Linked DNA regions of Macaca fascicularis. The protein of the gene in region 1 interacts with the protein of each later gene in a pairwise test. Links are inferred from orthologs where the notes say so. Each region holds a gene or a part of one and is shown in the gene's direction. Other genes may lie near its edges.

What was found.
Region 2: the proteins of KRT40 (region 1) and SHFL interact in binary tests that used the Homo sapiens proteins (3 or more experiments, as listed by UniProt). The two-hybrid records come from large-scale screens. The link is inferred for Macaca fascicularis from reciprocal best matches to the Homo sapiens genes KRT40 and SHFL.
Region 3: the proteins of KRT40 (region 1) and CCDC185 interact in binary tests that used the Homo sapiens proteins (3 or more experiments, as listed by UniProt). The two-hybrid records come from large-scale screens. The link is inferred for Macaca fascicularis from reciprocal best matches to the Homo sapiens genes KRT40 and CCDC185.
Region 4: the proteins of KRT40 (region 1) and MXI1 interact in binary tests that used the Homo sapiens proteins (3 or more experiments, as listed by UniProt). The two-hybrid records come from large-scale screens. The link is inferred for Macaca fascicularis from reciprocal best matches to the Homo sapiens genes KRT40 and MXI1.
Region 5: the proteins of KRT40 (region 1) and ZNF202 interact in binary tests that used the Homo sapiens proteins (3 or more experiments, as listed by UniProt). The two-hybrid records come from large-scale screens. The link is inferred for Macaca fascicularis from reciprocal best matches to the Homo sapiens genes KRT40 and ZNF202.
Region 6: the proteins of KRT40 (region 1) and SNAI1 interact in binary tests that used the Homo sapiens proteins (3 or more experiments, as listed by UniProt). The two-hybrid records come from large-scale screens. The link is inferred for Macaca fascicularis from reciprocal best matches to the Homo sapiens genes KRT40 and SNAI1.
Region 7: the proteins of KRT40 (region 1) and ZGPAT interact in binary tests that used the Homo sapiens proteins (3 or more experiments, as listed by UniProt). The two-hybrid records come from large-scale screens. The link is inferred for Macaca fascicularis from reciprocal best matches to the Homo sapiens genes KRT40 and ZGPAT.

What each region holds. Positions count from the first base shown.
Region 1 is NC_088390.1:62,067,746-62,072,498, reverse strand, and holds the start of KRT40 (keratin, type I cytoskeletal 40), read left to right. Parts: upstream 1-1,716; 5' UTR 1,717-1,770; coding exon 1,771-2,217; intron 2,218-2,915; coding exon 2,916-2,998; intron 2,999-3,611; coding exon 3,612-3,768; intron 3,769-4,753. UniProt on the Homo sapiens protein: May play a role in late hair differentiation.
Region 2 is NC_088393.1:10,631,446-10,635,945, forward strand, and holds the start of SHFL (shiftless antiviral inhibitor of ribosomal frameshifting protein), read left to right. Parts: upstream 1-1,505; 5' UTR 1,506-1,616; coding exon 1,617-1,637; intron 1,638-2,109; coding exon 2,110-2,233; intron 2,234-2,431; coding exon 2,432-2,481; intron 2,482-2,656; coding exon of another isoform or gene 2,657-2,795; intron 2,796-4,500.
Region 3 is NC_088375.1:81,409,798-81,414,182, forward strand, and holds CCDC185 (coiled-coil domain-containing protein 185), read left to right. Parts: upstream 1-1,661; 5' UTR 1,662-1,688; coding exon 1,689-3,560; 3' UTR 3,561-3,687; downstream 3,688-4,385.
Region 4 is NC_088383.1:119,355,764-119,359,806, forward strand, and holds part of MXI1 (max-interacting protein 1), read left to right. Parts: intron 1-3,289; coding exon 3,290-3,453; 3' UTR 3,454-4,043. UniProt on the Homo sapiens protein: Transcriptional repressor. MXI1 binds with MAX to form a sequence-specific DNA-binding protein complex which recognizes the core sequence 5'-CAC[GA]TG-3'. MXI1 thus antagonizes MYC transcriptional activity by competing for MAX.
Region 5 is NC_088388.1:122,522,580-122,526,536, reverse strand, and holds part of ZNF202 (zinc finger protein 202), read left to right. Parts: intron 1-889; 5' UTR 890-986; coding exon 987-1,388; intron 1,389-2,049; coding exon 2,050-2,260; intron 2,261-2,644; coding exon 2,645-2,733; intron 2,734-3,588; coding exon 3,589-3,718; intron 3,719-3,957. UniProt on the Homo sapiens protein: Transcriptional repressor that binds to elements found predominantly in genes that participate in lipid metabolism.
Region 6 is NC_088384.1:106,071,325-106,075,415, forward strand, and holds the end of SNAI1 (zinc finger protein SNAI1), read left to right. Parts: intron 1-2,465; coding exon 2,466-2,650; 3' UTR 2,651-3,497; downstream 3,498-4,091. UniProt on the Homo sapiens protein: Involved in induction of the epithelial to mesenchymal transition (EMT), formation and maintenance of embryonic mesoderm, growth arrest, survival and cell migration.
Region 7 is NC_088384.1:119,823,898-119,828,424, forward strand, and holds the start of ZGPAT (zinc finger CCCH-type with G patch domain-containing protein), read left to right. Parts: upstream 1-1,276; 5' UTR 1,277-1,356; intron 1,357-1,785; 5' UTR 1,786-1,813; coding exon 1,814-2,394; intron 2,395-4,527. Other genes in the region: ARFRP1 (ADP-ribosylation factor-related protein 1), read right to left, coding at 1-21, 282-380, 1,037-1,090. UniProt on the Homo sapiens protein: Transcription repressor that specifically binds the 5'-GGAG[GA]A[GA]A-3' consensus sequence. Represses transcription by recruiting the chromatin multiprotein complex NuRD to target promoters.

The sequences.
Region 1 (4,753 bases):
AACAAAACAAATAGTCCTACCCTGCAGGACACTAACTAGTAACCAATACTTTACAATTAGAAATTAGTTCCAGACAAAAGGAAATATTTCTTATTTTACCTGCAGTTACATGACTGCGCTTTAGCTAACTGGAACCTGTGATGGACAACCAAAACGTGGGTTTTCTTCAAAGATACTTTTCTTTTGACTCATTAGGTTACTGTGAAAAGATAATTTTCTTTCAGAGATTTGTAATTTTTCAGAAGTGTTTTTGAATCCTTGAACTCATATTTGTTGCAGAGCAGCGTCAATATACCATGAGACACTCTAAGAACTTTTTGCATAAGTGTTGATGTGTAAAGAGAATCACTAAATTCAAACCTAACTCTGCCCAGGGAGTAATAAATCCTCAGAGACTATTTTAACTCACTTACATATGTTCTTCTGGTTTGGTTTCTATTATCAGCTACCTAGGAAGTAGCCCTCAGGATTAGGGGAAAAAATAAGTTTATTCTGGATCAAAAAATTTTTAACTTTTTCAGATTACTGTGTTTTCTTTTCCTATAATGTTCTCAAAAATTCTACAGGCAATTTTCTCTATGCACCTTTGAAAATGAAATAAACATAACGACTAAAACCAAGCAAAGTGAAACAGATTATGCTTCATAATGGAGCTGAAATCCAAGACAGAATCCAAAAAAGTTACACATCTCAAGTTCCTATCTGTCAGATTTGGCACCAGAGATTTCATCCAGTGGAATCACTGATTTGGAACCTAAATAAAATTTTATTTTGCAAGTTCCAGCAGTTTTAATTTTCATGAAATTCAGGCCTTCATAAATAAATAAATAGGAGAAAACAGGCTGTACATCTCAGAAGAAAAGACTCCTGTGGGTTCCTTGTCCCTACTCTGAAGTATAATCATTGAGGAATTCCCAAGGGACTAAAAGGTTATAACTTACAATTTATATTTCACTCTCATTAGAAATACACGTAAAATAGTGTAACTTATCTAATAACAAGAAATGAGAAATGGGGAGAAGGCAAGTTTCAGAAAATCAAAGATCATAATTCCAGCTCTAACCAATTTATATTTTAGCCTGCAGAAAAACAAGTTATTCCTATCAGTTACGTAAAGTGACTTTTCCATTTGTACGCAGGTAGACATGTTTGTATACACACACACAAACACACACACACACATTAAGTCCAATATATAGCTCACTCCTCCAGTCTTGTCAGCACATACTCTGAGAACACAAAAAGCATTGAAAGATTGCTAATCACACTGACCATTTTTATGGTGGTGGCACAAACAAATAAATGTCATTTTATGAGCTGTAATACTAATTTTAAAAGGGGACCCAAGCAATCAATGCACAGAATCAAAATCTGTGGACATGTTATTTTCCTGATTTGTAATGAGTTGTATCTATAATTATTGATTGGCCAAATTTTCTCTTTCTTTTCTTATTCTGTCAAAAGGACAATGTTTCCTATGACAATTTTCTGAAATAAGTGTTTTGTCTGGCACATGGAAATGGTGTAGGTCCTGCTTCGGTAACCTAAAGTTATCCCTCTTTTATGAGGCATAAAACTCTTCCTCAGTAAATAAACAACTCTAATGAGATGTTTGTATGAAAACTGGCACCATCAGTGATAAAGAAAACATCCGGTGCAGTCTGTAAACACCCATTTTGGGGCGTTATAAAACTCTCAGGAGGGAAGGAGAGTTTTGGAGTCAAGGCAACTGAAGTTTTGCAGCCAGCCTCTGTCTTTGCTTCTGGAAGGATGACTTCTGACTGTTCCTCCACACACTGCTCTCCTGAATCCTGTACCACGGCCTCCGGTTGTGCACCTGCCTCAAGCTGTTGCATAGAAACAGCTTGTCTCCCCGGTGCCTGTGCTACATCCCGATGTCAGACTCCAAGCTTCCTATCCAGGTCTCGCGGGCTGACTGGTTGCCTCCTGCCATGCTACTTTACTGGGAGTTGTAACAGTCCCTGCTTGGTGGGGAACTGTGCCTGGTGTGAGGATGGGGTGTTCACTAGCAATGAGAAGGAGACGATGCAGTTCCTGAATGACAGACTTGCCAACTATCTGGAGAAGGTGCGCAGCCTGGAGGAGACCAACGCAGAGCTGGAATCCAGGATCCAAGAACAATGTGAACAGGATATCCCAATGGTGTGCCCGGATTATCAGTGTTACTTCAACACCATTGAAGATCTCCAACAAAAGGTGTGTGTCCTGTTGCCCTAGTGCTCCACCTTCCGGATCTATGACTTGCTTTATCTTTCTACCAGAGGGACGGTTTTCCAGAAGGCAACCAAGGGAAAGGGGAATTCCAGGAGTTAATGGTACATAGGGGAGACCACTGGACTGAAAGTCAGAAAACCTCAGCACCAGCGCCAGAACTACCCCTGATAACTGAGTGACTATAATAAAGTAACTCGCCCTTAGGCTTTTCCTTCATCATCTATAGAATGCAGAAAAACTGTATTACATCCAAAATCGCTTTTGTATTTGACACTGAACATTTATATTATCTGAACACAAATCGTCAAATGCCATCTTTTTAACCACCTAGTAATCATTTGCTTGTCTCCTTGATGAATTTCTATTATTATGGGAGAGGATAGAGTCATAATACAAACTACTGATGGAGAAAACGTTAATGGTGTTCAACTGCCTAGGGATGTTGCAAAGTGTCTTATGTTATTAAAAAACTAAACCTTTTTATTTCTCTATTTTGCTTCTAAATTGGCACTGCTTTTTTCTTCATGAAGCGACAAGGTCAATAAGAAAAGCAGGCTGAGGGTGATTTTATACTTTCTTATAAAGACTTTCAAAAGATAACTAATGGCACAGCTGTTGGATAGAAGTTTATTTAGGTTTCTCTCAAAGAATCATTTGTCACATAATGGCTTGCTTCCCAGATCTTATGCACGAAAGCAGAGAATTCTAGACTTGCTGTACAGCTTGACAACTGCAAACTGGCCACTGATGACTTTAAGTCAAAGTAAGTTTAATTTAATTTAATTTAATTTAATTTAATTTAATTTAATTTACTTATTTTGAGGAGTTTCACTCTTGTCGCCCAGGCTAGAGTGCAATGGCGCTATCTCGGCTCACTGCAACCTCTGCTTCCTGGGTTCAAGCGATTCTCCTGCCTCAGCCTCCTGAGTAGCCGGGATTACAGGCAGGCGTGCGCCGCCACCCACACCCAGCTAATTTTTGTATTTTCAGTAGAGATGGGGTTTCACCATGTGGACCAGGCTGGTCTTGAACTCCTGACCTCAGGTGATCCACCTGCCTCGGCCTCCCAAAGTGCTGGGATTACAGGCATGAGCCACCACACCCTGCCTTAATTTTAATTTGAAAATAATTTATGGCTCGCTCTCTCTCTCTCTCTTAATCTCTCTCTCTCTCACACACACACACCCCCACAAATATTCTCTATATAATATTTTAAAGTCAAGAATGTTTTAAAAGCTTGAATTTATCATTACTTAGGAATTAAGAGAAATTATGCATGTGGCTTCCTGAAGTCCATGTGTCGATCCTCCACGTATCCCCACACTTTGCACAGCGTTCAGCAAAGTAAGCATTGGATTTCTCTTTTGCCGTGAAAGGTACGAGAGTGAACTGTCCTTTCGCCAGCTATTAGAGGCAGACATCAGTGGCCTGCATGGGATCCTGGATGAGCTGACCCTGTGCAAATCTGATGTGGAGGCCCATGTGGAGTCTCTGAAGGAAGATCTCCTTTGCCTTAAGAAAAACCATGAAGAGGTAAGGAAAGCGGCAACGCCACTGAAGGACTCCGAGAGTAACGTACTTAACACTGACAGATGATCTGTTGATGTTTGTAAATCAAATTTGGGCGGATGTTGCTTAAGCTGGAATAAAACTACTCCAGGCAGGGCCAAGCGCGGTGGCTCATGCCTGTAATCCGAGCACTTCGGGAGGCCGAGGCAGGTAGATCACAAGGTCAGGAGTTCGAGACCAGCCTGGCCAATATGATGAAACCCCATCTCTACTAAAAATACAAAAATTAGCTGGGCATGGTGGTGGGTACCTGTAGTCCCAGCTACTCGGGAGGCTGAGGCAGGAGAATAGCTTGAACCCAGGAGGCGGAGGTTGCAGTGAGCCGAGATCTCACCACTGCACTCCAACCTGGGCAACAGAGCAAGACTCCATCTCAAAAAACAAACAAACAAAAAAGCAGAAAAACTACTCGAGGCATTATTACTATTCAACCTGATCATTCCAGCGTGTCTCTGAATTAACATGTGAAATAGCCCCTAGACAGTGCCAGACAAAGGAACCAAACTCTTCTCCTGCCCTTGCCTTTGTGGAGGAGGTGAGTAACTTCACAAATGGCTTCCTTTGGAGGCTTTATGCCACCCCTAGCTCCAATCCACAGGGTATGAAAATCAGTCTGAGAAACAGACTATGAAGTCCGTTTCAAAAAAGGGATAAGGACTCATACACTATCTGGACCAGTGTTTTTAAATATTCCGCATTTATAAACTTTTAAAAGTCATAAAATATAAAGTGATTAATACAGTGATAAAGCTAGAAAATGAAAAGCTGAATGATGTAACAAAGTACGTTTGCTCTTTGAATATTTGTTGATGACAATCATAGCTAACATTTATTGACACCTTACTATGTGTCATAATTAACTTTTATAAGTTAATTATGTGTAGATTAACTCTTCTAGATCTCACAATAACCTTCTGGAAAAATGTCCGATTATTATGTCCATTTTACA
Region 2 (4,500 bases), on another chromosome or scaffold:
ATACAAATAAATAAATTTTTTTAAAAAATCCATCTTTGAGGCCAGGAGTTTGAGACCAGCCTGTGCAACATAGTGAGACCCCGTCTCTACAAAAAAAAAAAAAAAAAAAAAAAAAAAAAAAAAATTGAAAATTAACCAGGCATAGTGGCATATGCCAGTAATCCCAGATACTTAGGAGGCTGAGGTAGGAGGATTGTTTGAGTCCAGGAGTTCGAGGCTGCAGTGAGCCGTATTCAAACCACTGCATTCCAGCCTGGGCAACAGAGCAAAACCTTGTCTCAAAAGATAAATAAATAAATAAATATCCATCTGGGGGTGTAATTTTAACAGTTTTACCTATAGAGGTGTGCAATGGAGAAAAAAATTTAGAGTCGTTGAACACAATGCTATTTTGCCCCTCAGAGAGTATCTGGCAGTCTCTGGAGACATTTTTTGTAGTCACAACAGGGAGAGTGAGGAGCCACTGGCATCTAGCAGGCAGTGGCCAGGGATGCTGTTAAATGTCCCCCAACACACAGAACAGTCCCCCACACAAAGAACCAGGCAGCCCAAAGTGTCAAGAGTGCTGGGCTTGAGAAGCCCTTGCCCGAAAGCCCCAGACTTAGTCTTGTTTTGGGGGCTCTGCACGGCTGCCTCAACTCCCCACTCTATTCGTCCCCGAGCTAAGACCTCCAATTTCAGTGACTGTACAAAGCATCCCCTCCTCCAATGAAGTAGCCATCTCTGTGTCCCCAGGCTGGGCCAGAGCCCCACCACCTAACGGCTCCCTGATGCGCCCTGTACTGGGTTAGAACTGTCCAGCCCACGGGGTTCTTAACCATTGCAGATTCCCTGGATCCCTGAGACAGCCGGATTCTACCGGGCAACGAGAGACCAAGAATCTGTGTTTTTCTCAAGCACCGCTCCCCACAACCACACACACACTGCCTGCCCCTATCAAGGGCACACAGCAGGTGGCCCAGTGACTAGTTGAGTGCCTACTGCAAGCCAGGCGCTATTACGCGATCCACTCGGGAATCTTGGCATATACTCCACTCCATGGTGTAGACACCAGGATCCTCCCCATTTCACAGAGGGGTAAACTGAGGTTCAGAGAGGTGACCCTAGCTAGGACAGAGACTCAGGGCAGGAAAAGCGCCCAGGTCCTCATGAGCGCCAGATTCCCGGGGAAGGAGGGAGGACAGAGAGGAGGGTGATGAACTGGGGGAGCGCGCGCTGGGTGGGGGGGCGCGGGGCCTCGCCGCGGCCTTCCGATGCGGCCCCGCCCCCACGAGGGACGTGAAGACGCGGACCCCGCGCAGCGTGGGGACATGTGACCGACTGCAGAGGCCGCGCCGCCTCCCCCGCCCGAGGTCTGCGCGCTCCGCCGCAGGGTGCAGACCCGGGGCGACCGCCTGGGTTTGGGGCGCAAGAGCAGAGGCGGAGCCAGGGCGGAGCCAGCGCGCCCGGTCCCCCCTGAATCGAAAGCGAAACAGGGGCTGGGGAGGAAGGGCGGAGCCGGCCCCGAGGCACCGCCCCCTGCCCTGCGCGGCTGCTGGACCGACGGGCGCGCCCAGGTAGGGGGGCGGCTGAACCGCGCAGTGCGGACCCTCGCGGGGACCTGCGCCGCCGCCACCATGTCTCAGGAAGGTGTGGAGGTAAGAGATGGCTACGGCTGGGCCGGGGGCAGACGCGACAGACTCCGAGGAGCGGCCGAGAGGCGCGGAGGGGGCTTCGCAGTTCCTGGGGACCCCCATCCTAGAACCCCAGATCTTTACCCCTGCCTGGCGCTCACCCCCCTTGAAAAGGAAAGTGACTCCCACGTTTCCCCAGAGCGAAATGAGGCCTCTCCGAGGAAAAGCGGGGGCTGCAGGGTCAAAGGTCAGAGGCCAGAGATAACCTGGCCGCCCCCCCACCTTAGGCTGGGACGCTCGCCTCAGTCCGCGCCCTCCCCCAGCGCCATGTGGGGACTTTGGCTTTTTCCAGGAAATGCCGTAGAGGGATGAAAGGGGGGGCGGCGGAGGCCAAAACCAAGGGTCAAGTTCAGGCCGGGAGAACGGTGCCTAGAGATGGGGGAGGGACGATCGCGCTTCCCCTTCGCCCACCGGAACCCCCCTGTCCCCATCCCAGCTGGAGAAGAGCGTCCGGCGCCTCCGGGAGAAGTTTCATGGGAAGGTATCCTCCAAGAAGGCGGGGGCTCTGATGAGGAAATTCGGCAGCGACCACACAGGAGTTGGGCGCTCCATCGTGTACGGTGAGGCTGCTGGGGTCCCGGGCCTGGTGCGGAGACCGCGCGTGGGAGCGCCGAGGGGGCGTGGTCTAGGGAGAGGCGTTGAGATCACCTCCCCCGGAGGTCCCAGCCTCGGGGAGGCTCTGCATCGCGGCTCTGGGTGGCCTGGAACTCCCACAGACCCTTCAAGGGCCCTTCTCTTATACGCACTCTCCCCCGCAGGGGTAAAGCAAAAAGATGGCCAAGAACTAAGTAACGATCTGGATGCCCAGGTAACCTGTCCCCTCCCCTCGCAAAGGACCGGGTCACGGGAGGGACAGCAAGAGGGGGGACCCGACCGGTTCATGGTGACTGACACTTCTCTGAAACAGGAGGGACCAGGCATTGTCGGTCTGTAACTCATCACCCAATATCACTTTTTCACCTCTCTATCGTTTGTCCGGCCAGGGAGCCTGCAAACAGTAGGCGCTCATTATGCGCTGATTGTATTCAAAGGCGGACAGCCATGAAACTAGGCAATGAAAGGAGTCAGGATTATGGCCATCGTGGGGGGGCAGAGATCAGAGAAGACTTCCTGGAGGAGGAGGTACCAAGTCTTAAAGGATGGAGAGGAGTGAGCCCTGGGAGGGGAAAGGGAAAGAAAGGCAGGGGCCTTAGGGTGTGGGAGGGAATGGCATGAGCAAAGGCTGGGAGGTGGGGAAGGGTTGTTAGTGTCAGTCTCTAGAAAGGCTGGGATGAGCAGGGGATTGGGGAGGAGAGAGAGGGAGGGGAAGGGAACCTTTGTGTTGAATGAATGAATGAATGAATGAATGAATGAATGAATGAATGAATGGCTTTGAAGCACAGGTGCATCATGGCTACTTTGCTTCTTCGAAAGCTTTGGTGATGGGAACACTGTGGATTTCGCCTGCCTGAAAGGCTCAGTGTAGGGCTGTTACAGTATAATAGGCCTGGCGCCATGGCTCACGCCTGCGATCCCAACACTTTGGGAGGCTGAGGCGGGCGGATCACCTGAGGTCGGGAGTTCGAGACCAGCCTGACCAACATGGAGAAACCTGTCTCTACTAAAAAATACAAAATTAGCTGGGCATGGTGGCGCATGCCTGTAATCCCAGCTACTCGGGAGGCCGAGGCAGGAGAATCGCTTGAACCTGGAAGGCAGAGGTTGCAGTGAGCCAAGATCACGCCATTGCACTCCAGCCTGGGCAACAAGAGCGAAACTCTGTCTCAAAAAAAAAAAAAAGGCCAGGCGCGGTGGCTCACGCCTGTAATCCCAGCACTTTGGGAGGCCAAAGCGGGCAGATCACGAGGTCAGGAGATTAAGACCATCCTGGCTAACATGGTGAAACCCCATCTCTACTAAAAATACAAAACAACAACAACAACAACAATTAGCCAGGCGTAGTGGCAGGCGCCTGTAGTCCCAGCTACTCAGGAGGCTGAGGCAGGAGAATGGCGTAAACCCGGGAGGCAGAGCTTGCAGTGAGCCAAGATCGCGCCACTGCACTCCAGCCTGGGCAACAGAGCAAGACTCCGTCTCAAAAACAAAACAAAAAACAAAAAAACCCAGAGGATAGTAAAATATGTATCATAGTCTACATTTATACATATAAAAGTATGATAAAAATGATAGCAGAGGGGCCGGGTGCGGTGGCTCACGCCTGTAATCCCAGCATTTTGGGAGGTTGAGGCGGGCAGATCACTTGAGGTCAGGAGCTCGAGATTAGCCTGGCCAACATAGTGAAACCCCGTCTCTACTAAAAATACAAAAAATTAACTGGGCGTGGTGGTGCATGCTTGTAATCCCAGCTACTTGGGAGGCTGAGGCAGAAGAATCACTTGAACCTGGGAGGTGGAGGTTGCAGTCAGCCGAGATCACGCCATTGCACTCCAGCCTGGGCGACAAGAGTGAAACTCCATCTCAAAAATATAATAATAACAATAGCAGAGGGTAGCATTCATTTAGTATTTCCCATATGGCAAGACTCCAGGAATTGATTTATTTCATCGCCACAGTGACCCCAGGAGACAGGTCCTGTTATTTATCCCCATTTCACAGACAAACTGAGGATGAAGTCACTTGCTAGGTTCACGAAGCAAGCAGGTGGCAGCTGCGATTTGAACCCTGGCCACCTGGAGTCAGAGTCTGGGCTCTAACATGCCTGTCAGTGGGAACCCAGGAGGCAGGGAGTGGCTTGTCCAAGTCCCCACAGCTGGAAGTGATAGAGCTGGGATTCGAACCCACATCTCTCAGTCCAGATCCCCACCACTTAGCCAAGCACAACGTGGCC
Region 3 (4,385 bases), on another chromosome or scaffold:
CCCACTGATGAGGGCTCCACCTGTATGACCTAATCACCTCCCAAAGGTCCCACCTCCTAATACCATCACCTTAAGGGTTAGAATTTTAACTTAAGAATTTGGGGGAAACACAAACCTTCAGACCATAGCAACCCCAGGGAAGGGAAGTGACTTAGCCAGGATCCACAGTATGATGTGAACATGACAGAGCTTGGAGTCACCCCTTTCTAGCACTCTATCCTTTACTTAAACTATTTTAAGATTACATTAATTGCATTATTTCCTTAAGCTAGAAATCTGCAGAAATATTTGTAAATTCATATATTACTTTAAGTCTTAACACTTTGTTTTTGAGACAAAGTCTCACTCTGTTGCCCAGACTGGGGTGCAGTGACATAATCATGGCTCACTGCAGCCTCAAATTCCTGGACTCAAGCAATCCTTCCACCTCAGCCTCCGGAATAGCTGGGACTATAAATGCACACACATGTTTAGCTAATTTTTAAAATGTTTATATAGAGGCAGAGTCTCTCTATGTTGCCCAGACTGGTCTAAGTCCTGGGCTCAAGGGATCCTCCTGCCTTGCCTTCCCCACATGCTAGGATTACAGGCATGAACCACCACCCAACCCAATTCTTAAAACTTTTAACTGACGCTTAGCATGGCACCAAAATGATATTTATTGAATGTATTCTGGTGCCAACCTCTGGATGCATCATTTCGTCTGATCCTCACAACAGTCCTGCAATGCTGGTAAGATGAGCCCGGCTTCCCACTCCATCTTGCTGGAACTGGAGGTCATGGAAACTTAAGGGATTTGCCCAAGAGCCCATGAGTGAAGAGTGGTAGAGGAGATTCAAATTCTTTTTCTCTACCAGATCCAGTGTTTTTCCCATTAGCCAAGGGTGCCTCAACAAGGAACAAGAATCCCACAAAATTCGAGGAAAAGGGGGAAAAATGTGATTTCAACATGGTGTTCACTGATGCTATTTCAGAAATGTGCACGCAGCATTCATATTTTGACAAAAGCAGTAATTACCATATTAGAAAATAGAGTCGTTGTCTTCCTTTTCTAAAAATCTTTAAAAGTTAACATTAAAGCATACTTTGGGCTTGCTAATTTAAAACGGCAAATGGATGGTGTCGCATATTAATGTGCGTCCACAGCCGCTCTATTTGACCACGTTGCAGAGGTACACACGTGCAGGACGGTGGTTCTGCAGCTGAGGGTATCTCCTCCCTGAAACTGCACCTTGGCCCTTCTCCCCACCCTTTTTATTCTGAGGGTGACGCCTTCACCCGGGCTCTCTTAAAATCCTGCTGTTTGTGTGCAAATGCGAGTTCAAATTTCTCCCTGAAACACTGGTGGGGGGACACTATGCACCCTCATCTTTAAATATCATCCTGATTTCCCACATATTCCCTCCTCCAACCTGCAACCCCTTTCTCCCCCACCCGACCCCCACCACCCCCATCTCCAGCCTCCTGTCCTTCCCATTCCAGGTGCTCCGAGTGCTAGCAAAACTGGGGTGGGCGGCGCCGGGCAAGGGCTGAAGACTGCGGGGACCCAGCTGCCAGGCGCATTGTGAAGTGGCCGGAGCGTCACAGGCGACCCCGACTTCGGGACCGGGGGGCGGGGCGGGTGTCTGCAGCGTCCTCTGGAGGTCTCAGACCCCTTGCGCAGACTCTGCGCGTGCCCAGAGGGAGGGATGGCAGGCTTCAGCCACTTCTCCCAGCCGCCCTACCGGGACCTCTGGGAACCCCCGCGGCCCGGCGGAGAGCGAGAGTCCACGCAGCGGCTGGGCGGGCAGAGGTCCGGAGCCAACTCCCCCGCGTGCTCCCGGGCCGAGACTCCGGGTGCGGAGAGCGAAGCTGGGGCGTGCTGGCTGCACCCGCACTGTTCGTTCACGCCGCGGCCTCGCAGGCGCGGGTGCTCAGACTCACCGCGGGGCAGCCGAAGCCTGAGCGATGTGGTCCGCAGGCCCCTGGACCGCTCCAGGAAGCACGGGCTCCGCAGCAGGCGCCTAGAAGATGCCTGGGGAGAGACAGGAACCAAGCCCCGCCCAGCTTGGCAGCCGCAGACCCAGCTGCCACCCCAGCGGCCGCAGCCCTGCCCGCATTACCCACTGGCCCAGGGAGACTCGCCCCCGCCTTACTCCGGAGGAGCTGGCACTCCCCTGAGTGGCACATTCAGGGTAGAAAAGGCACAGGGTGGAGACCAGTGGGCAGTGCCGCTCGGCAGACATCTAGGTCGCTGGTCCGCTTCCTCAGTTCCCTCGGAGCGGTCTTCTGTGCCCTCCCAAAAGTTCAGGAGGCACTCAGCCTGCGGGTGCGCCCAGAAGAGAGACAGCAGCGACCAGGTTGAGTCATTAGCAAGCCGGGACTCCCAGCCCTCGGCCTCTAGCAAAGAGATGCGGAGCCCCCACACCCAGGTCCTGAAGAGCAAGCTGGAAGAGGCAGTGGTGTCCTCCCAGGACCAGCAGATTGTGGCCCTCGTGTTGACCCGTCTCAAGAAGGCCCAGAGGATGCGGGAGCTGCAGCAGCAGGCGGCTGAGGCCTGGGAGGAGTTGAAGCGCTCGGATCAGAAGGTCCAGATGACCTTGGAGCGGGAACGCCGGCTGCTGCTGCAGCAGAGCCAGGAGCAGTGGCAGGAGAAGGAGCAGCGCAAGACCCTCCAAAGCCCTGAGCAGCGCTGCCGGCGGCGGGACAGCCAGAGGAAGAACGTGACCCCGGGGGAAAGCCGGTGGAAGGAACAAACTGAGGACCAGGAGAGCCCGCGCCAGGAGAAGCTGGAGAAGGCGCGCGCCCAGGCAGAGCACCGAAAGCAGTGCCAGGTGCGGCGCCTGCGGGAGCAGGAGAAGATGCAACGGAACCTCCGGGAGCAACACACCCTGCAGCTACAGAGGAGGCTGGTGGAGGCCTGTCGCAAGAGGCATCTGCATGCCGTGGAGGGACAGAAGAAGGTCCAGGACACCAACCTGAGCTCTCTCATCAATTACCAGGCCCGGAAGGTCCTCATGGACTGCCAGGCCAAGGCTGAGGAGCTCCTTAGGCAGCTGTCCCTGGAACAAAGTTTCCAGCGGTCCCAAGAGATACACCAGGGCCTGATGAAGGAGCGGCACCGCGAGCTGAGGGAGAAGGCCCAGAAGGAGGAAGAGCAGTTGCAGCAGGCCAGGTGGCGTGCAGGGGAGTCAGAGGAGCAGAGGAAGATGCGCAAAAGGATTCTGGTGGAGCTGGCAGATGAGAAGATCCGACAGGCCAGGAATCACGTGCACAAGACCACTAGGGACAAGGTGCAGCACCTCCGGGAGCTCAACCACCTGAGGGAGAAAAACCACCACATCCTGAAACTGAAAGCCGAGAAGGAGGAAAAGTGCCACATTGAAGGCATCAAGGAGGCCATTAAGAAAAAGGAGCAGAGGGTGCGGCACATTACCCAAGGGAAAGACCCAAACTTCCAGGAGTTCCAGAAGCTCCCTCAGGCCTCCAGGAGAGAAGAGAGAGCGCCTCCCAACAGCTCCCTTGATCAGATAGTACTAGAGGCCCAGCTCCGTGCCTGTCAGCAGAACAGGGATTACTGAGAACCAAGGACGCCTGGCTTACAGCGCCAGCCAGAAGGAGATGTGGCAATGTGATTCCTTTTGTAATCTGATTATAATTGAACATTGATTTTAAAAAAGCATATAAAATAGCTGCAATTTCCTCTCATGAACTGGTTTATTGATTCACTTGGATAGTTTAGAGGGTCGGGGAGAAAATTTTGAGAATTTCTATGAAAATGACTTGGCTTTGTGAATTTCGATTTGAATACAAAATATTCATTTAGCTCTCAAGTAATCTGAGAAACACACAACAGGCACATTTTGGAGACACCAGAGAAAAATCTATAGTTAGGGATACAGTTCTGTGACATGTCTTAAGTCTTTTCCTGTCCCAGAACTTATGAAAGGGTGAAGTATAAAGTACGCATCATAAGAAATCTCCAAGACAAAAAGAAATTTTAAAAAGAGTGAAGTGGGAGGATTCCTGTGAACGAGTAGATTTGGGAACCCTGCATACTATATCCTCTCTTGGGAGTTCATAATGCACTTTAAAATTTTAAAGACATGCAGTAAAGAAACTTAATGTTTAATGTCCCTCACCTCTTTTTTTTCTCAGATAATTTCATGGAATTGATGTTCTGTGAAACATTTTTGAAAACGGCACTCTATAGTTCTTATCTGATTGTGAACTTCTTTGGCCTTCCCTCCATGTATTGATAGGAAGTATTTATAATTCCATCAGCACTATTTCTTGACTGTTCCACCACAGCCACACCATCTGATATAGTTTGGCTGTGTCCCCACCCAAATCTCATCTTGAGCTATATAGCTCCCATAATTCCCACGTGTTGTAGGAGAGGCCTT
Region 4 (4,043 bases), on another chromosome or scaffold:
CCTGTTCCACACCATTTTGGTAGAAACAAAAACTGATTTCTATACAACATCTCAAAAAGACTTCTTTGGCAGAGAAAACATTAATAAATATATAGGTATAGATCTGTGTGTGTATATATGTACATATTTTTTTAAACATCAAGAGACTGAGTCATTTTTCTTATAGAATTTCCCACATCCTAGATTTGTCTGGTTGTATTCTCATGGTGTCATTTAATATGTTATGTCCTTTATGTTTACTGTAAACTAGTTGGTAGATGCAGAATACTTCATAGGTGGTGCTTTGTACTTCCTGTTAAGTCAGTATTGTGTCTAGTTGTTGCACTTTTAATATTAATCAGTAGGTTCAGGTAAGGTCATTTTAATACATTTATATAAATGTATCAGCCTTTAACTTAATAGTTTTAGCAATTATTGCCCTTATTTCATTGAGGTGACATAAAATAGTGGTTTTCTAATTGTGTCATTCCTCATGTACTTATTAACTGTTTTTCTTCTATAAACATTTTCTCAACTTTTCCGTTATCCTGAAATAAAGTTCATACAGGGAAGGTGGGATAAATGCTTGGTCTTGTTTTTTGCTTTATCAGTTTCCCAAACAGAGCTGGTACCATAGCAACTTCCAGAAGTAACAAGTTTTGGTTTTACTGGTTTTTGATTATATCATGAACTCACGTTTTGCTGTACCGAATGTGTTCCAATCCATTGCAGTCATCCTTTTAAATTCTTTTGAATGCTCAAACTGTCCCAGATTTGGTGAGTAGGAGCCTTTCAAATAGTTTCTTCATCCTTTTTAACACAACCCTAGGAGTTCTTGTTTTTCTGTTCTGTTATTTTTCTATGTAAAAGTTTATTTTTGTGTGGCACTCAGTTTTCAAGAAAAGTCTACCAGAGGCAGTAGCAAGAACCTGAAGGACATGCTGCATTTATAACAGTGAAGTATAGCAGAAATAACCCTGAATTAGGTATAGCAGAAATAACCCAGACTTTGGTGTCCTGGTCTTTCCTCTATTGCTAACTAGTGGAAACCTCTTCTTAGGTCTTTAGGTTTTAGCTGTCCTTCCTGTTACCTCCTCCTTGTACCCACCCCAACTACCTCCAAATTTCAGAGAGGAGGGTGTATTTCATCACTATAGCTCTCATATTTTTTTTTAGTGTTCCCAGTGTACCTTACTTTAGTAGTACCTTACCAAGTACCATCCTTATCCTGAGCTGGCAACCTCCTTTTTGTAGTGTTACAGGGGCTTTTAGTTAACATCTCTGGTACACTTGGCTAAAGCAGTTTCTCATTTTTTTTTTTAAATTTTTAAAACATTTTTAAATTTTATTAAAATAGAGATAGGCCTTGTTGCCCAAGTGGTCTCAAACTCCTGGGCTTCAAGCAATTCTCCTGCCTTGGCCTCCCAAAGTGCTGGGATTACAGGTGTGAGCCGCTGTGCTGGCCATCATTTTACTTTGTTTTGACTGAGTTCAGCATGCTCTTTTGAATAGTGTGCCTTGTTATTATCTTCTAGTTGTAGGTTGGATGAATGTTCAGTGGTGTGGGGAAAGATGGTTTCTGAAGCAATATGGATATAGAGCAAATATATGAATTAATAGATTATTTGGATAGCTGCCTACATTTTAAAAACACAACTCTAGAATCTCTAAAACTTTTGAAGCAACAAGCCCTTTTGAAAAGTATATTCCTGGAAATAGCTTCACCCTGTCCTTTTGGCCTCACAAGAATCCACTTTTTGTTTTCTTTTGAGACAGAGTCTCGCTGTGTCTCCCAGGCTGGAGTGCAGTGGCGCGATCTTGGCTCCCTGCAATCTCTGCCTCCCAGGTTCAAGTGATTCTGCTGCATCAGCCTCCCAAGTAGCTGAGATTACAGGCGCGTGCCACCATGCCCGCCTAATTTTTGTATTTTTAGTAGACACAGGGTTTCACCAAATTGGTCAGGCTGGTCTTGAACTCCTGATGTCGTGATCCACCTCCCTCGGCCTCTCAAAGTGCTGGCCGCACCTGGCTGAATCCACTTTTTTTTTTTTTTTAAAGCAGTTGTGATTAGTGTGACCCCTTAAAGTCAGTGCCAAATGTGAAAGAAACATCAGGCTTTGAATTTGTTTTAAGGTAACTGAAAAATCCTGGGTTCACTCTAGCTCTGATGGGAGAAAACAACTTTTTAACTCCTTTTTGTTTTTAACGTGTATTGCTTTATGTATATTATTGGTGATTGAATATCTAGTATTTAACAATTAAGATTTTTTTTTATTTGTAAGAGACAGGGTCTCACTCTGTCATATAGGCTGAAGTGCAGTGATGAGACGTGGGCACACTGCAGCCTCAACTTCCTGGGCTCAAGAGTGATCCTCTCACCTTAGCCTCCCGAGTAGCTGGAACTACTGGCTCACCCACTGTACCCAGCTAATTTTTGTGGGGTTTTTTTTTTTTTTTTTTGGTAGAAATGGGGTCTCACTTTGTTACCCAGGCTTGTCTCAAACTCCTGCGCTCAAGCGATCCTCCTGCCTTAGCCTCCCAGAGTGCTGGGATTACAGACACTGCATCCAGCAACATTATCTATTGATAGCTGAGTCAAATATTTATTTATTTATTTATTTTTTAATGTTTGGTTTTTAAGTCTGTATACTACCACCAAAATGGATCTCACTATAATCTGAAGACTTTTAAGTCTCAGGCCCTTATTTCAAGCTATATTTGATGCAAGAAAGTTAAATCTAAGACATATCCCTCAAACTCTACTTTATTATGACTTGTTTGACTGACTAGTTGAAGATCTTTATGATGAATCCTAGAAGTGTGTTGAACTATCTGTAGAATGGCACCAACAAAGGCCTGGATGGGTAAATTTTCTAGTTTGCCTATATTAAGTTTATGCTCCTGCCCACCATTTAAGGCAACCCTGATTAATAAACAGAACTGAGAATTAGTTTGTGGTTTAATGCAAAACAGATGTTTTTAAACCACTTGGGGGTTAGGACCTTTTAATATTAAGCACTAATTCCCAAATACGCCAAGTGGTTTTAGTGGGAGGTCCAGACGAACTGGCGTCAAAGGATTTAGTAAATTTGCTGCCTAAATTCAGACCACCACTGTATGTCAGACATTCCCCTTGGCAAAAAAATATTCCTGTCTCTTCACCTTCAGTTCCTCTGTTCTCCAGGGATCACTGATAATAGGCTTGTTGTATTAACATTTCTTATACCTCTTTTCCTCATGCCGTTAGTTTTTGAAGGTGTGCTATACTTGATTATTAATGTTCTTTTTTTTTTTTTTTTTCCTTTGGCAGAGGAGATTGAAGTGGATGTTGAAAGCACAGAGTTCTCCCATGGAGAAGTGGACAATATAAGTACCACCAGCATCAGTGACATTGATGACCACAGCAGCCTGCCGAGTATTGGGAGTGATGAGGGTTACTCCAGTGCCAGTGTCAAACTTTCATTCACTTCATAGAACCCAGCATGACATAACAGTGCAGGGCAAAATATTCACTGGGCCAATTCAATACAAACAATCTCTTAAATTGGGTTCATGATGCAGTCTCCTCTTTAAAACTAAACTATACTTGAACAAAAGGGTCAGAGGACCTGTATTTAAGCAAATACTTAGCAAAAAGTGGGGCAGAGCCTCCCAAGGAGAACAAATATTCAGAATATTCATATTGGAAAAATCATAATTTTTAATGGCAGCAGAAAACTTGTGTGAAATTTTCTTGATTTGAGTTGATTGAAAAGAGGACATTGGAGATGCCATCCTCTTTCGCTTTTCTAGTTTGCTCATACTACATTGAGTAGACACATTTAAGGATGGGGTTATGAACCCTTCCTGAGCTTTATGGTCCTAAAAGCGAAATAAAAAGTATTCAAATGAAAAGACAAGAAAATCAGGTATTAATCTTGGATAGCTAATGAGCTATTAAAACTCAGCCTGGGACAGTTTATCATGAAGCCTGTGGATGATCAATCCTTTATTATTATTATTTTTTAAAAAAGCTCATTTCATGCTCTGCAAAAGGAGAGACTCCCATGAAGCCTTTTGAAAGG
Region 5 (3,957 bases), on another chromosome or scaffold:
AAAGAGCTTCGTGTCATTCCCAGGATTTTGGAACTGATTTTACTAACATTAAAAAGGTTTTGTTTTAAAATATTGAGTAATATAGTTGGAACCATAATTTAGGAAGACAACCGCTGGTGCCATCACTCTTCTAAGCAAAGATAGTAATACATTTAATCCTTATAGTAAATTTATTAGATGAAAACCATTATTATCTCCCTTCTATAGACAGAGAAACCAGCATAAGGAGAATGAGAACTTGCCTATGGTCTCACTCTGGAAATACCTAGTAAGCGATAGAGCCAGGATTCAAACACAGGTAGCTTGGCTTCAGAACTTTCGCTCATAACCTTACACACCTCCCTCATGGTTGGTGTTTCTCAACCATGGATACACTTTTGAACTGCATGTAGCATCTCTAAACATACAGTTACCTGGATTGACTGAATCAGAGTGTCTGAAAAATGTGTGATACTGTGTTTTGCAAAACCTCCACAGGTAATTCTGTTGCACTTTGCTCATAGTTGAGTACTGCAGGGATCTCAGGAAGTTAGAGCAGAGTCCAGGCAGCAGATGATGAAGCCTGAAACTAAAGCGGTCTGTAGGAAGGAAGAGGAGGGAGCCGATTTGGAGTCTTGAGAGATGGAATTGGCAGTGTTCATGAAGTGGAAATGCAGTATTTTCTCTTGGAGTATGAACCTTGCCTAGGAAGGGGGATAGAGGACCACACCTTTAGTTGTGGATTGTCCTCTCCCAACTGGATGTGTTGATTTATGGTTGTGGAGGTTGGGGAAAAGAGGATTTAACCATTTGAAGAAGTTTGTATAGGGGATTATGATTGAACTCAGACTGTTGTCCTTGTGTGTAGTTTCATGCTTATACTCTTGTTTGTCTTTACTTCTCTATCCAGGGCCCTTGGCAGAAAATCCTCGCTGTGTCCAGGCTGAGGCTGGGGTCTAATGACAGTGTGAGCTCTAGATGGTGTGAGACCACCCCAAAGCCAAGAAATGGCTACAGCCATGGAACCAGAGGACCAGGATCTTTGGGAAGAAGAGGGAATTCTGATGGTGAAACTGGAAGATGATTTCACCTGTAGGCCAGAGTCTGTCTTACAGAGGGATGACCCAGTGCTGGAGACCTCCCACCAGAACTTCCGGCGCTTCCGCTATCAGGAAGCCGCAAGCCCTAGAGAAGCTCTCATCAGACTCCGAGAACTTTGTCACCAGTGGCTGAGACCAGAGAGGCGGACAAAGGAGCAGATTCTAGAGCTGCTTGTACTGGAACAATTTCTTACCGTCCTGCCCGGAGAACTACAGAGCTGGGTGCGGGGCCAACGGCCAGAAAGTGGCGAGGAGGCGGTGACGCTGGTGGAGGGTTTGCAGAAACAACCCAGGAGACCAAGGCGGTGGGTGAGGAGGGGGAGTCCTGATCTGTGTGATGTGGAGGGGGACTATTTGCTGGAAGGCTGGATTTGGGGGAGGGCTTGCAGGATCCCCATAAATTATTAGTGGGCTCTGCCCTCGGGTTGCTCATAGATCCATGAGCCCCACGGATTAGGGGGATGTGTGTGTATGAATGTGACTTTCTGGATTTTGGAACACCTGTGTAGGGACCGTCTGAGGGGTCTCAGCCACCAAAGGGTCATGGCTTTGGTTTTCCCTTCTTTGAATGTTGAGCCTTGGGTTCCTGGAGAGAAGAATTTTGTGACTTCCTCAAAGGTTCTCATAGATCCCCAGTCACAGATCCCCCTTCCTGGCTGGTCAGCTAGGGAAGCAGGCAGCAAGGAGAGCTACAGGTGGGACAGGTGGAGATGGGAAGGAGCCTTGGGTGACGGGTTCCAAAGCTGGGGGTGGTGAGAGAGCATTGCAGACCTGCGCATCCCCTGCCTCGTTCTGGGGAGGATAAGCTTCAGCTCCTCCTTGCCTGCTGAGTTGGAACTGGAGTTTCCCCTCCTTGTCTGGGTCCCTCTGGGAGTGTTTTCTCTAGACATCTTCTCCTAAAATAAGCTCCCATGACAACCAAGAACTTCCTCCTGACTCCATGGTGACTGGAAGTTGGAATTATTCCCAGGTGACTGTCCATGTTCACGGCCAGGAAGTCCTGTCAGAGGAGACGGTGCATTTAGGAGCGGAGCCTGAGTCACCTAGTGAGCTACAGGATCCTGTGCAAAGCTCGACCCCCCGGCAGTCTCCTGAGGAAACCACACAGAGCCCAGATCGGGGGGCACCAGCAGAGCAGCGTCTGCACCAGGAAGAGGAGCTCCAGTCCCTGCAGGAGAGCGGTGGGAAGCCTCAGCAGAAAGGGGGGATTGTGGCAGAAGGCAGGCAAGGAGGGGGCTGTTCTCCTGTACCAAGGGAGCTGGGTAGACTGCATGGAAAGAAATCACAGAATCCAGGATGTCAAGAGGAGACAGAACCACCAGCTAGAGTCCCCTAAAAACACGGCCAAGCTTAGATAGCAGATCGTTGCTTGTTCTCTTGGCATTCTGATGGTCTTATAGGTGATGGGTGTGGGATATGGGAGCTACCCTTAGGCCTGTGTCTTGGTTCCCATAATAAGAAGGATAGGGCCACCTTCTTACCAAAGATGGTGGGGGATGCCTAGATTTTTGTCCATTATTGGGGCACGCTGCATATTACTGATCTTTGCCGCCTTTTCTTCATAGAGGTCCCAGTGCCCCAGGAGCCAGACCTTCCCGCAGAGAGGAGCTCTGGAGACTCAGAGATGGTTGCTCTTCTTACTGCTCTATCACAGGTGTGCCCTAATTACCTCTGTACCACAGAGAGTTTGTTTGAAGAACCACTGGGCATTAGCCATACTAAACAGGCGAAGCAGGATACACATTTACACTCTTGCCAGTTTTAAGCTCACAGTTCTGCAGATGCCTGGAAGGGGAGGAGAAAGGGGAGGAGATAATGAGACAAATTATCATACCCTCTATTGGATCCATAGGCGCCAACGCCTGTTTATTTGCCGTTGACTAGAAAAGCTAACAAAATGAGATTATTTTGTAACACTCCAGTACAACTTCGAAGTTGTCAAATGAGGGTTTTTTAGGTTTTTTTTAAGGAATACATCTGATAGTCATTTGTAAGTATGACAGACTGTACTGCTGAGACATTTAGCAAGTATTCACCATGATCAAAGCCCTGAAACTAAGCCATGTGGCTGGAGGATAAGAAATAGAATTCATGTATGGTTTTAGATTGTAATCTAACTGAGGAAAAAAGTCTTGTTTTGCCTATAGAGTGTAGAAACTATTGAAAGTGATTAGAGTCGTTCAGGAAAGTTGACTAGAAAAGATAAATTTTGCAGAAATGTATGTAGCATTAAAGTGTCAAGTAGGGATGATGATTTTTAAGACCTTTAAACAGTACCTTAAGAAGAACATAAGCTGGTCCTCAGGGAAAGTGATGGCGTTGGAGGGGGCAGGGCCAGTGCAGGACGCTAGAGGACACATAGCTCCCCTGAGAATGAGTTTAAGCAGCCCGCCACTTGAGCTCCTTTCATCTCCAAGATGGAGTCTTCCTATTGTGTGACTTTCAACAGGTACAAAATGCGAGGCTACCTGTAGCGTCACATTTTGATGAAATCCTTATGTGGTTTCAGGGACTGGTAACGTTCAAGGATGTGGCCGTATGCTTTTCCCAGGACCAGTGGAGTGATCTGGACCCAACACAGAAAGAGTTCTATGGAGAATATGTCTTGGAAGAAGATTGTGGAATTGTAGTCTCTCTGTGTAAGGAATTTCAAGTATTCTAGAGTATTCTAAGCCCAGAGATCTTTTTCCTGCTGGAAATTTTGGGGGATCTTAGACCTTAGATTGTATGCAGTGAACTTCTCTTATGCCCTCCCCACCAATAAAATTGAGGGATTAGGTGCAAAATATGGTGTCCTTTCAAGTAAAAGATAAATGTTTGGAAATGGAAACCTCTAATAGGGAAACAAACTTGTAATATTACAGCTTTAGTGCAGAAA
Region 6 (4,091 bases), on another chromosome or scaffold:
TGAACGGTGGCAGCCACTGTGCCTGGAGCTGCTCTTTGGAGAGGGACAGTTGAGGGAGAAGATTCCACAGGGTTCAAGCTGGCCAGGTTCTACCATTCCTGGCCCGGCGCCTGACCTCTGAGCAGTGAGGGTCAGTGAGGTATCTGGGAGGACTGGCATTTCGCGGGCTTTATTGGCATCTTATTCGACTAAGGCTACCCATTTCTTTTCCTTCCTGCACCAGTAGCCCTGATTTTAACATGTAAAGGTCCAACTGCTGGGCTCCCCGTGCCTGCCCAGCTCACAGGGCTCTATTTTGGGAGATTTGAACCCCTCAGGATGCTGCTCTCCTGCCTGCCTCTCTCGCCTCCCATCCGGACATTATTTTAATGTAAAGGCATGGCTGAGGCACAGAAATCCCCTTGAAATGTATCATTTCGGTCCTCATTGACTCCCATTGTGTGCCTTAATGGTGGGCCCAGTGGGTGGGGGCTGGGAGGGGTGGAGCAGGTGCATGGGGCAGGGGTGCCCAGCACCTGTTCCAGTCGCAGCTGCTGGCGCACTGCGTGGCAGGCCCCTTTAATCCGGGGGTATCGCATGTACGGTGCCCCCCTCGGCGCCCTTTGTCCCCACCGGCCTGGTGCCGATTTCACACTTGCCAGGAGTACCATGAAGGCGTCTGGGGGGCGAGGGATCTGAGGAGTGGGGGTCAGTGCCTCCTGCATATGCGTGCAGCCCCCGCCCCCAGCCCATCATGTCCTAGAATGTCTCCTTCCCCTTTTGTTCGGGTTTGTGTCTCATCACACTTAGAGCACTTACTGTGCAGGAGGTAGTGCTCGGGACTTCACCAACAGCCCTGGGAAGGGAAGGGGGGTGCCATCGTAACTCCAGTCTTACAAATGGACTCCAGCCCCTTTTCCAGACCTCTAGAGTCAGCCCTTAGTTCACAAGGGTGAACTTACCCTTCTCATTCACATGAAGACTTAGAATGCAATCAGCAAACGCTTCAGGCCTGGCGTGGGGAGGCTGCTGAGTAATGGCAGAGTGGAGTAGTGCTCAGGCACCCCTCCCCCAGTCCTCTGTGTCCCCCACCCTTTGGAGTGTCGAGTTTCCATTTCTGCCCCATGAGAGTGAGTCCAGCTCTCAGGTGCTCCATAAGTCCCTATGGAATGCATGGGTCCCATTGGAATCATTCTCTGGACTCCCTCCTACCCTGGTAGCTCAGTGTAGCACCCTAGGCACCCAGGAGGTGATGGAATGAATTCACTCTCAGCTCTTAAATTCCATCCAGCGCTGGGATTTCACAGACAGGCCCTGGCCTCGCGGGCATGTCAGGCTGGGCGTGAGGGGATTGGAGAATTGCATATTTTTTAAAGAGACTATTCAGTATTATAGAGTAGTGTCTAGCACATAGTAGGAGATCAATAGATTTAAAAAAAAAATTATAGACAGGGTCTGGCTTTATTGCCTAGGCTTGTCTCAAACTCCTGGCTTCAAGCAGTCCTCCTGCCTCACTCGGCCTCCCAGAGTGATGGGATTACTGGCGTGAGCCACCACACCCGGCTTCAATAGATTTTTGTTTAATGAGTTATTGTTATGACCTTTTATGTGGAAAATGCTGCATCCCCCAGAAAAAAACAAACAGCATTATTGGTGTTTTTGGAACTGTAGCCTTTTGGTTGGAGCAGGGATTATTACAAGGCATGAGTGAGGGGCAGACTCCTCTGAGGCCTTTTTAATTTTTAAAGCAGACTTAATTATTCTCTAAGGGCTTATTGAGGACTTACTGGGTACCCAGCTCCATATGCAAGACTTTTTCCGACACAGCCTTGGCCAGGCAGATGGTGTGTCAGAGGCACAGGTTTCTATAGCCTCTTCGGTGTTAGAAAGGGGCCCAGGCCCTGGGCTGGGGCTTAGAATGGACTCAAAGAAGGCCCCTGCCCTTATGGGACTCAGCCTGATTGGAGAACAGACAAGGAGATTTGGGATTACAGCACCAGAGGTGGGGTAGTGAGGAAAGCAGGCTGCTGGCCCAGCCCCAGGAGTGGCCTAACCAGCTTGGAGGTGGGGGTGGGGAGGCCTCTTAAGGCTGACTCTGGCTTTGGCCCCAATAAGTGACAGTAGGACGAATCAGTAAAGATGTTCGGTCGTCGTTGACCACTTCGCACATCTCTGCGGGATGTGGATGAGTACTGTGCCCTACCTTCTGTCACTTACCAACCCCTATGAGTGGGGGATGGATAGCCCGATTTTACAGGTGGAAAAATGGAGGCTCAGAGAAGCCAGACAACTTGCCCAGAGTTGCACAGTGGGAAGCAGCAGAGCTCCGTCAGGTCCCAGCCTTTGGACTCTGGCTGCGTGTTTGAGTCCTGACTTTCCTGGGATCGTGGGATTCTTTCGGGGTTTAGGGTATGCGGGGAGGGATTCCCATCACTGCCAGCTGTTGTCCCACGGCTCATTCGGCCTTTCTGGCATTCTCTCCCCAGGCGAGAAGCCCTTCTCCTGTCCCCACTGCAGTCGCGCCTTCGCTGACCGCTCCAACCTGCGGGCCCACCTCCAGACCCACTCGGATGTCAAGAAGTACCAATGCCAGGCGTGTGCTCGGACCTTCTCCCGAATGTCCCTGCTCCACAAGCACCAAGAGTCTGGCTGCTCAGGATGTCCCCGCTGACCCTTGAGGCTCCCTCTTCCTCTCCATACCTGCCCCCTGCCCGACAGCCTTCCCCCAATCCAGCAGGAAGGACCGACCCCACGTCCTTCTCACTGCCATGGAATTCCCTTCTGAGTGCCCCACTTCTGGCTGCATCAGCCCCACAGGACCTTGAAGACCATTTTCTGGTTCTGTTTCCTCTGCCTGGGTCCCTCAGTGGGCTCTGGAGGAGGCCTTCCCGTGGCCTTTTCTGTGGAGAGAGGGCAGCTGGCAGTCCCAGCCCCCGGGGGATTCCTGAGCTGGCCTTTCTGCATGGGTTTTTGTATCCAGAGCTGTTTGGATACAGCTGCTTTGAGCTACGGGACAAAAGCCGACAGACTCACTGGGAAGCTCCCACCCCACTCAGGGGACCCCACTCCCCTCACACATACCCCCCTACAAGGAACCCTCAGGCCACCCTCCACGAGGTGTGACTAACTATGCAATAATCCACCCCCAGGTGCAGCCCCGGGCCCTGCGGAGGCGGTGGCAGACTAGAGTCTGAGATGCCCCAAGCCCGGGCAGCTATTTCAGCCTCCTGTTTGGTGGGGTGGCACCTGTTTCCCGGGCAATTTAACAGTGTCTCAAAAGGGACTGTGAGTAATGGCTGTCACTTGTCGGGGGCCCAAGTGGGGTGCTCTGGTCTGACCGATGTGTCTCCCAGAACTATTTTGGGGGCCTGACAGGTGGGCCTGGGAGGAAGATGTTTACATTTTTAAAGGTACACTGGTATTTATATTTCAAACATTTTGTATCAAGGAAACGTTTTGTATAGTTATATGTACAGTTTATTGATATTCAATAAAGCAGTTAATTTATATATTGAAAAGAGTCTGGTGTAATAGAGGAGTGGGTATTTTAAAAGGTCTTTGGTAGGGGAGGAGGAGACAGGAATTCCTGAAGCTTAGATATTTCTGACACAGCCTTAAATCTTGTCCTTGGAAACGTCACAGGGCTTTGGAGTCCTGGGTGTTCTGTCTGCTGGTGTTTGGGTGAGCCAGCAGCATCCATATGAGCTCTTCACTATACACTGTGGCTCTTGTTTACTTTCTCATTCTTGAATTTTGAAACCGATTTGGCGCATGGGGTACAGAGCTGGCTTCCTGGGTCTTATCAACTAGGCAGGCTGCAAAGCTGCCCCAGCACTGCAGGTCTTTTGGGGCCGCTTCCCCCACATGCGAGTGGAATGCGACCAAGGAGACAGAGGATGTCCTTCCTGTTTCCAAGGGCTCCCGGCCCCCTCGGGCCTCCTTGTCAGTCCCACACCTCCGTCTTGCTGCTGGGTACCAAATGGCCTTTGATGCAAGGAAATTGGCTGGCTGGAGCCAGGAGGGTGAGAAGCCAGGCCAAAGGGTAGGGGTCACTCAGCTTCCTGCTCCGAGGACTGCGGGACGGTCAGTTTGCGTCCTGGGCTAGGGTAATT
Region 7 (4,527 bases), on another chromosome or scaffold:
TTTTGACTGTTCCAGGAAGGTCTGAGGAGAGAGGGAGAGGCAGACACATCAAGTAGGGGCTACACTGGCTTCCCAAATATCCTTCCTCAGGCCTGTTCCTTAAGAGAGAAAAACAGAAACAAAGCAACACTCTGCTCTTCAGGAAGCTGGTGGTGACAATCCTGTCGTCTCAGGTGAAATGTGGATTCCATCTGGGTAGTGAACATGCAGCTGACAGCACAAAACCGAAGCGGGGGCCACCCGGCCGTGGGAAAGGTGCGGGCAAGGGAGTGGGCACTCACCGTCTTCCCAGCATTGTCCAGGCCCAGGATCAGGATGCAGTACTCGTCCTTCTGAAACATGTACTTGTACAAGCCCGACAGCAGCGTGTACATCCTGCCCTGGGCGCCCCAACATGTGTCAGTGTGCAGCCGGAACGCAGCTCCCCGCCCCCGGGCTTCTCCACGGTGGTCAGGGGCGCCCCACGTCCAGCTGGCCGCTCAGGACCAGAGCCTGGGGGCCATTCCCGACTCTCCCTCCTCCACCGCACCCCTGCAACTCCTCCCAGGCCGGCCGCCACTCCGTCCTTCCGCTCACAGCAATGACTGCGACCTTTCCGAACCCGCAGCGGCTCCGGTCCCTCCCCTGCTCGCGGGACCACCCAGCCGGGTGTTCGCGGTGAGCTCCGCTGCGCTCCCGCCCTCCCCCGAGGTTTCGCTCCCACGCTTCACGCGCGCGGAACGGGGAACACACTCGCGGCAGCCCCGCCTGGGCCCCCGCGCCCCACCCGGGAGCAGCGAGCCGCCGGCGCGCTCCCCAGGAGCTCCCCAGGGACGCCCCATCAACCCATTTCTTAAAACGGGGACGGCCAGCGGGAAGCGGACTACAGGGCGGGTGCGCAGCGGCCCGGCTGCTCCCGGAGGCGGCGCGCGGCGGGCAGGGAACGACTCCCGCGGAGAAAGAACCCGCGTCGGGGACCCCGGCTACGGCCGCCCCATGCCGCGGCCGCCAGGTTGGAGGCTCGCCGACAAGCAGCCAAAGCTGGTTCCTGTCACACCTGCGTCCCACCTCCAGCTCTGGGCCGCCCCTCGGGCCTCGCGCCCCACCGCATAGCCTGCGGCCTACCTGCGACCGCCGCGACCTCGGAGCCGCCGCTGCTGACCCCCGCTGACCTCCGCTGACCCCGCGCTAACCCCGCGCGGCGCCTGACGGGACGAGAGCCGGCCTCAGGGAAGGAGCTGAAACGCGTCCCGGCGGCCTCCGCGCTCCGCTTCCCGGCTGCCCCCGCGCGCCAGGCACTTCCGGAAGTGGCGGCGCTCGGGAGGAAGTGCTGGTCGGCGGCGGGGACGAAAGGGGGGTGCCGGGCCGCTCTAGCCGGTGAGGCCGGCGGGCTCTCTATGGCGGCGGCTGGGAAACCGCGCGGGGGAGGTTCCCTGCCCGGGGAGAGGGGACCCCGGTTTGCGGGGACGCGGCCTTGGCCAGACTGCAGAGACGCCGGGCGCGGGGGCGGGGCCGGCCTGGAAGGCAGCGGGCGCGGCGGGTGGGCTCGGCGGAGGGCCGGGCGGCGGGGCGCCCCGCGGGGAGGGGGTCTCCGGAGTGACGCGGGACCCGGCTAGCGGCGAGCCCAGGGCGGCTCGGAAGGGAAGCGCGGAGCCTGAGCGGGGGTACCCGGTCTGCGACCTCTGCGCTGGGAGCTGTGCCTCTGAGCCGGTGTCTCCCCGAGGGACAGGGGACGTGCCCGTGCCCTCCCGCAGTCTGTGGGGCCGGTCCCGAGACGCGAGGCTCACCTGGCTTCTCTTCTCGCAGCCCTGGTCCAGCGCCTCCCTCTCTCAGCATGGACGAGGAGAGCCTGGAGTCGGCCTTGCAGACCTACCGTGCGCAGCTGCAGCAGGTGGAGCTGGCCCTGGGCGCCGGCCTGGATTCGTCTGAGCAGGCGGACCTGCGCCAGCTGCAGGGGGACCTGAAGGAGCTCATCGAGCTCACCGAGGCCAGCCTGGTGTCTGTCAGGAAGAGCAAGTTGCTGGCCGCGCTGGACGAAGAGCGCACGGGCCGGGAAGATGCTGAGTACCAGGCTTTCCGGGAGGCCATCACTGAGGCGGTGGAGGCGCCAGCAGCAGCCCCTGAGTCCGGATCAGAGACCGTTCCTAAAGCAGAGGCGGGGCCCGAATCTGCAGCAGGTGGGCAGGAGGAGGAAGAGGGAGAGGACGAGGAAGAGCTGAGTGGGACAAAGGTGAGCGCACCCTACTACAGCTCATGGGGCACTCTGGAGTATCACAACGCCATGGTGGTGGGAGCGGAAGAGGCTGAGGATGGTTCGGCGGGTGTCCGTGTGCTCTACCTGTACCCCACTCACAAGTCTCTGAAGCCGTGCCCGTTCTTCCTGGAGGGAAAGTGCCGCTTCAAGGAGAACTGCAGGTAAAACCCTTTGTTATCAGGATGCCAACCTTGGGGCGTAAGGGGCACGCACACAGGGTCGGGTCAGGGTGGCCCTCCCTTTGCTTTGCAGTTTTGTCTCAGCTTCTTGGGGCAGGCATGCTTTGTGACAGCAGTGTCTGTGTTCAGGCGTCTGCGTCTTTGTTCCGGGGTAAATCAAGAAGCATAGAAGGTGGCCGGGTGCGGTGGCCCACGCCTGTAATCCCAGCACTTTGGGAAGTCAAGGCGGGCAGATCACCTGAGGTCAGGAGTTCAGGACCACGCTGGTCAACATGGTGAAACCCTATCTCTGTTAAAAACACAAAATTCAACTGGTCGTGGTGGCGCGCACCTGTGGTCCTAGCTACTCAGGAGGCTGAGGCAGGAGAATTGGTTGAACCCAGGAGGCCAAGGTTGCAGTGAGCGGAAATGGAGCCACTGTACTCCAGCCTGAGCAACAGTGCAAGGCTTATGTGGAAGAGAATAGGTCTCCAACCTATCGTCATTGTTTTTTTGTTTGGTTGTTGTTTTAATTTTTTTTGAGACAGGGTCTTACTTTGTCAACCAGGCTGGAGTGCAGTGGCGCAGTCCTGGCTTACTGCAGCCTGGACCTCCTGGGCTCAACTGATCTCCTGCCTTAGCGCCCCTAGTAATTGGGGTACAGACTCACACTACCACATCCAGCTAATTTTTGTATTATTATTACTTGTTTATTTATTTATTTTTTGAGATGGAGTCTTGCTCTGTCGCCCAGGCTGGAGTGCAGTGGCGCAATCTCGGCTCACTGCAAGCTCTGCCTCCCGGGTTCAAACAATTCTCCTGCCTCAGCCTCCCTAGTAGCTGGGATTACAGGCACCTGCCACCATACCTGGCTAATTTTTTTGTACTTTTTAGTAGAGACGGGGTTTCACCGTGTTAGCCTGGATGGTCTCAATCTCCTGACCTTGTGATCCGCCCACCTCAGCCTCCCAAAGTGCTGGGATTACAGGCGTGAGACACAGTGCCTGCTTTTTTTTTTTTTTTTTTTGGAGATAGAGTTTCACTCTTGTTGCCCAGGCTGGAGTGCAGTGGCATAGTCTCAGCTTACTGCAACCTCCTTCTCCTGGGTTGAAGTAATTCTCTGCCTCAGTGTCCAGAGTAGCTGGAATTACAGGTGCCCACCACCACGCCCGGCTAATTTTTTGTATTTTTAGTAGAGACAGAGATTCACCATCTTGGCCAGGCTGATCTTGAACTCCTGACCTCGTGATCTACCCGCCTCAGTCTCCCAAAATGCTGGGATTACAGACGTGAGCCATCACGCCTGGCTAATTTTTGTAGTTTTAGTAGAGGTAGGGTTTTGTCATGTTGTCCAGGCTGGTTTCACGCTCCTGAGCTCAAGTGATCCACCTGCCCTGGCCTCCCAAAGTGCTGAGATCACAGGCATGAGCCACTGCGCCCGGCCCTGTTGTTAGTTTTATTCTCTAGAGTTCAACTTGAAAACTTTACTTTTTTTTTTTTTTTTTTTTGAGACAGAGTCTCGCTCTGTCACCCAGGCTGGAGTGCAATGGCTTGATCTCAGCTCACTGCAAGCTCCGCCTCCCGGGTTCACGCCATTCTCCTGCCTCAGCCTCCCGAGTAGCTGGGACTACAGGCGCCCGCCACCTCGCCCAGCTAATTTTTTTTATATTTTTAGTAGAGACGGGGTTTCACTGTGTTAGCCGGGATGGTCTCGATCTCCTGACCTGGTGATCCGCCTGTCTCGGCCTCCCAAAGTGCTGGGATTACAGGCATGAGCCACCACGCCCGGCCTGAAAATTTTACTCTTACGGAGATTTTCAAACATACCCCAAGTTAGAGAGCTTAACATAATCACTGCCCACGGTCCATAATCCACGGTCCATCATCCAGTGTCCTCATTGATTAACATTTTGCTAGTCTTGTTTTGTCTGTTCTCCCTGTTCTACTTTTTTCTTTCCTGGACTATTTTAAAGCAAATTCCAGAAGTTACTGGGTTTTTCCAACTATGAATACTTCAGAGTGTATCTCTAATCTAACTGATTAGGAAATCACTTAAAAAGTAACTTTTTGGAAGTCCAAGTCGATGTGAGGACAAAAAAGAGTAACTTCCATGTTATAATAGGTAATAGTATTACA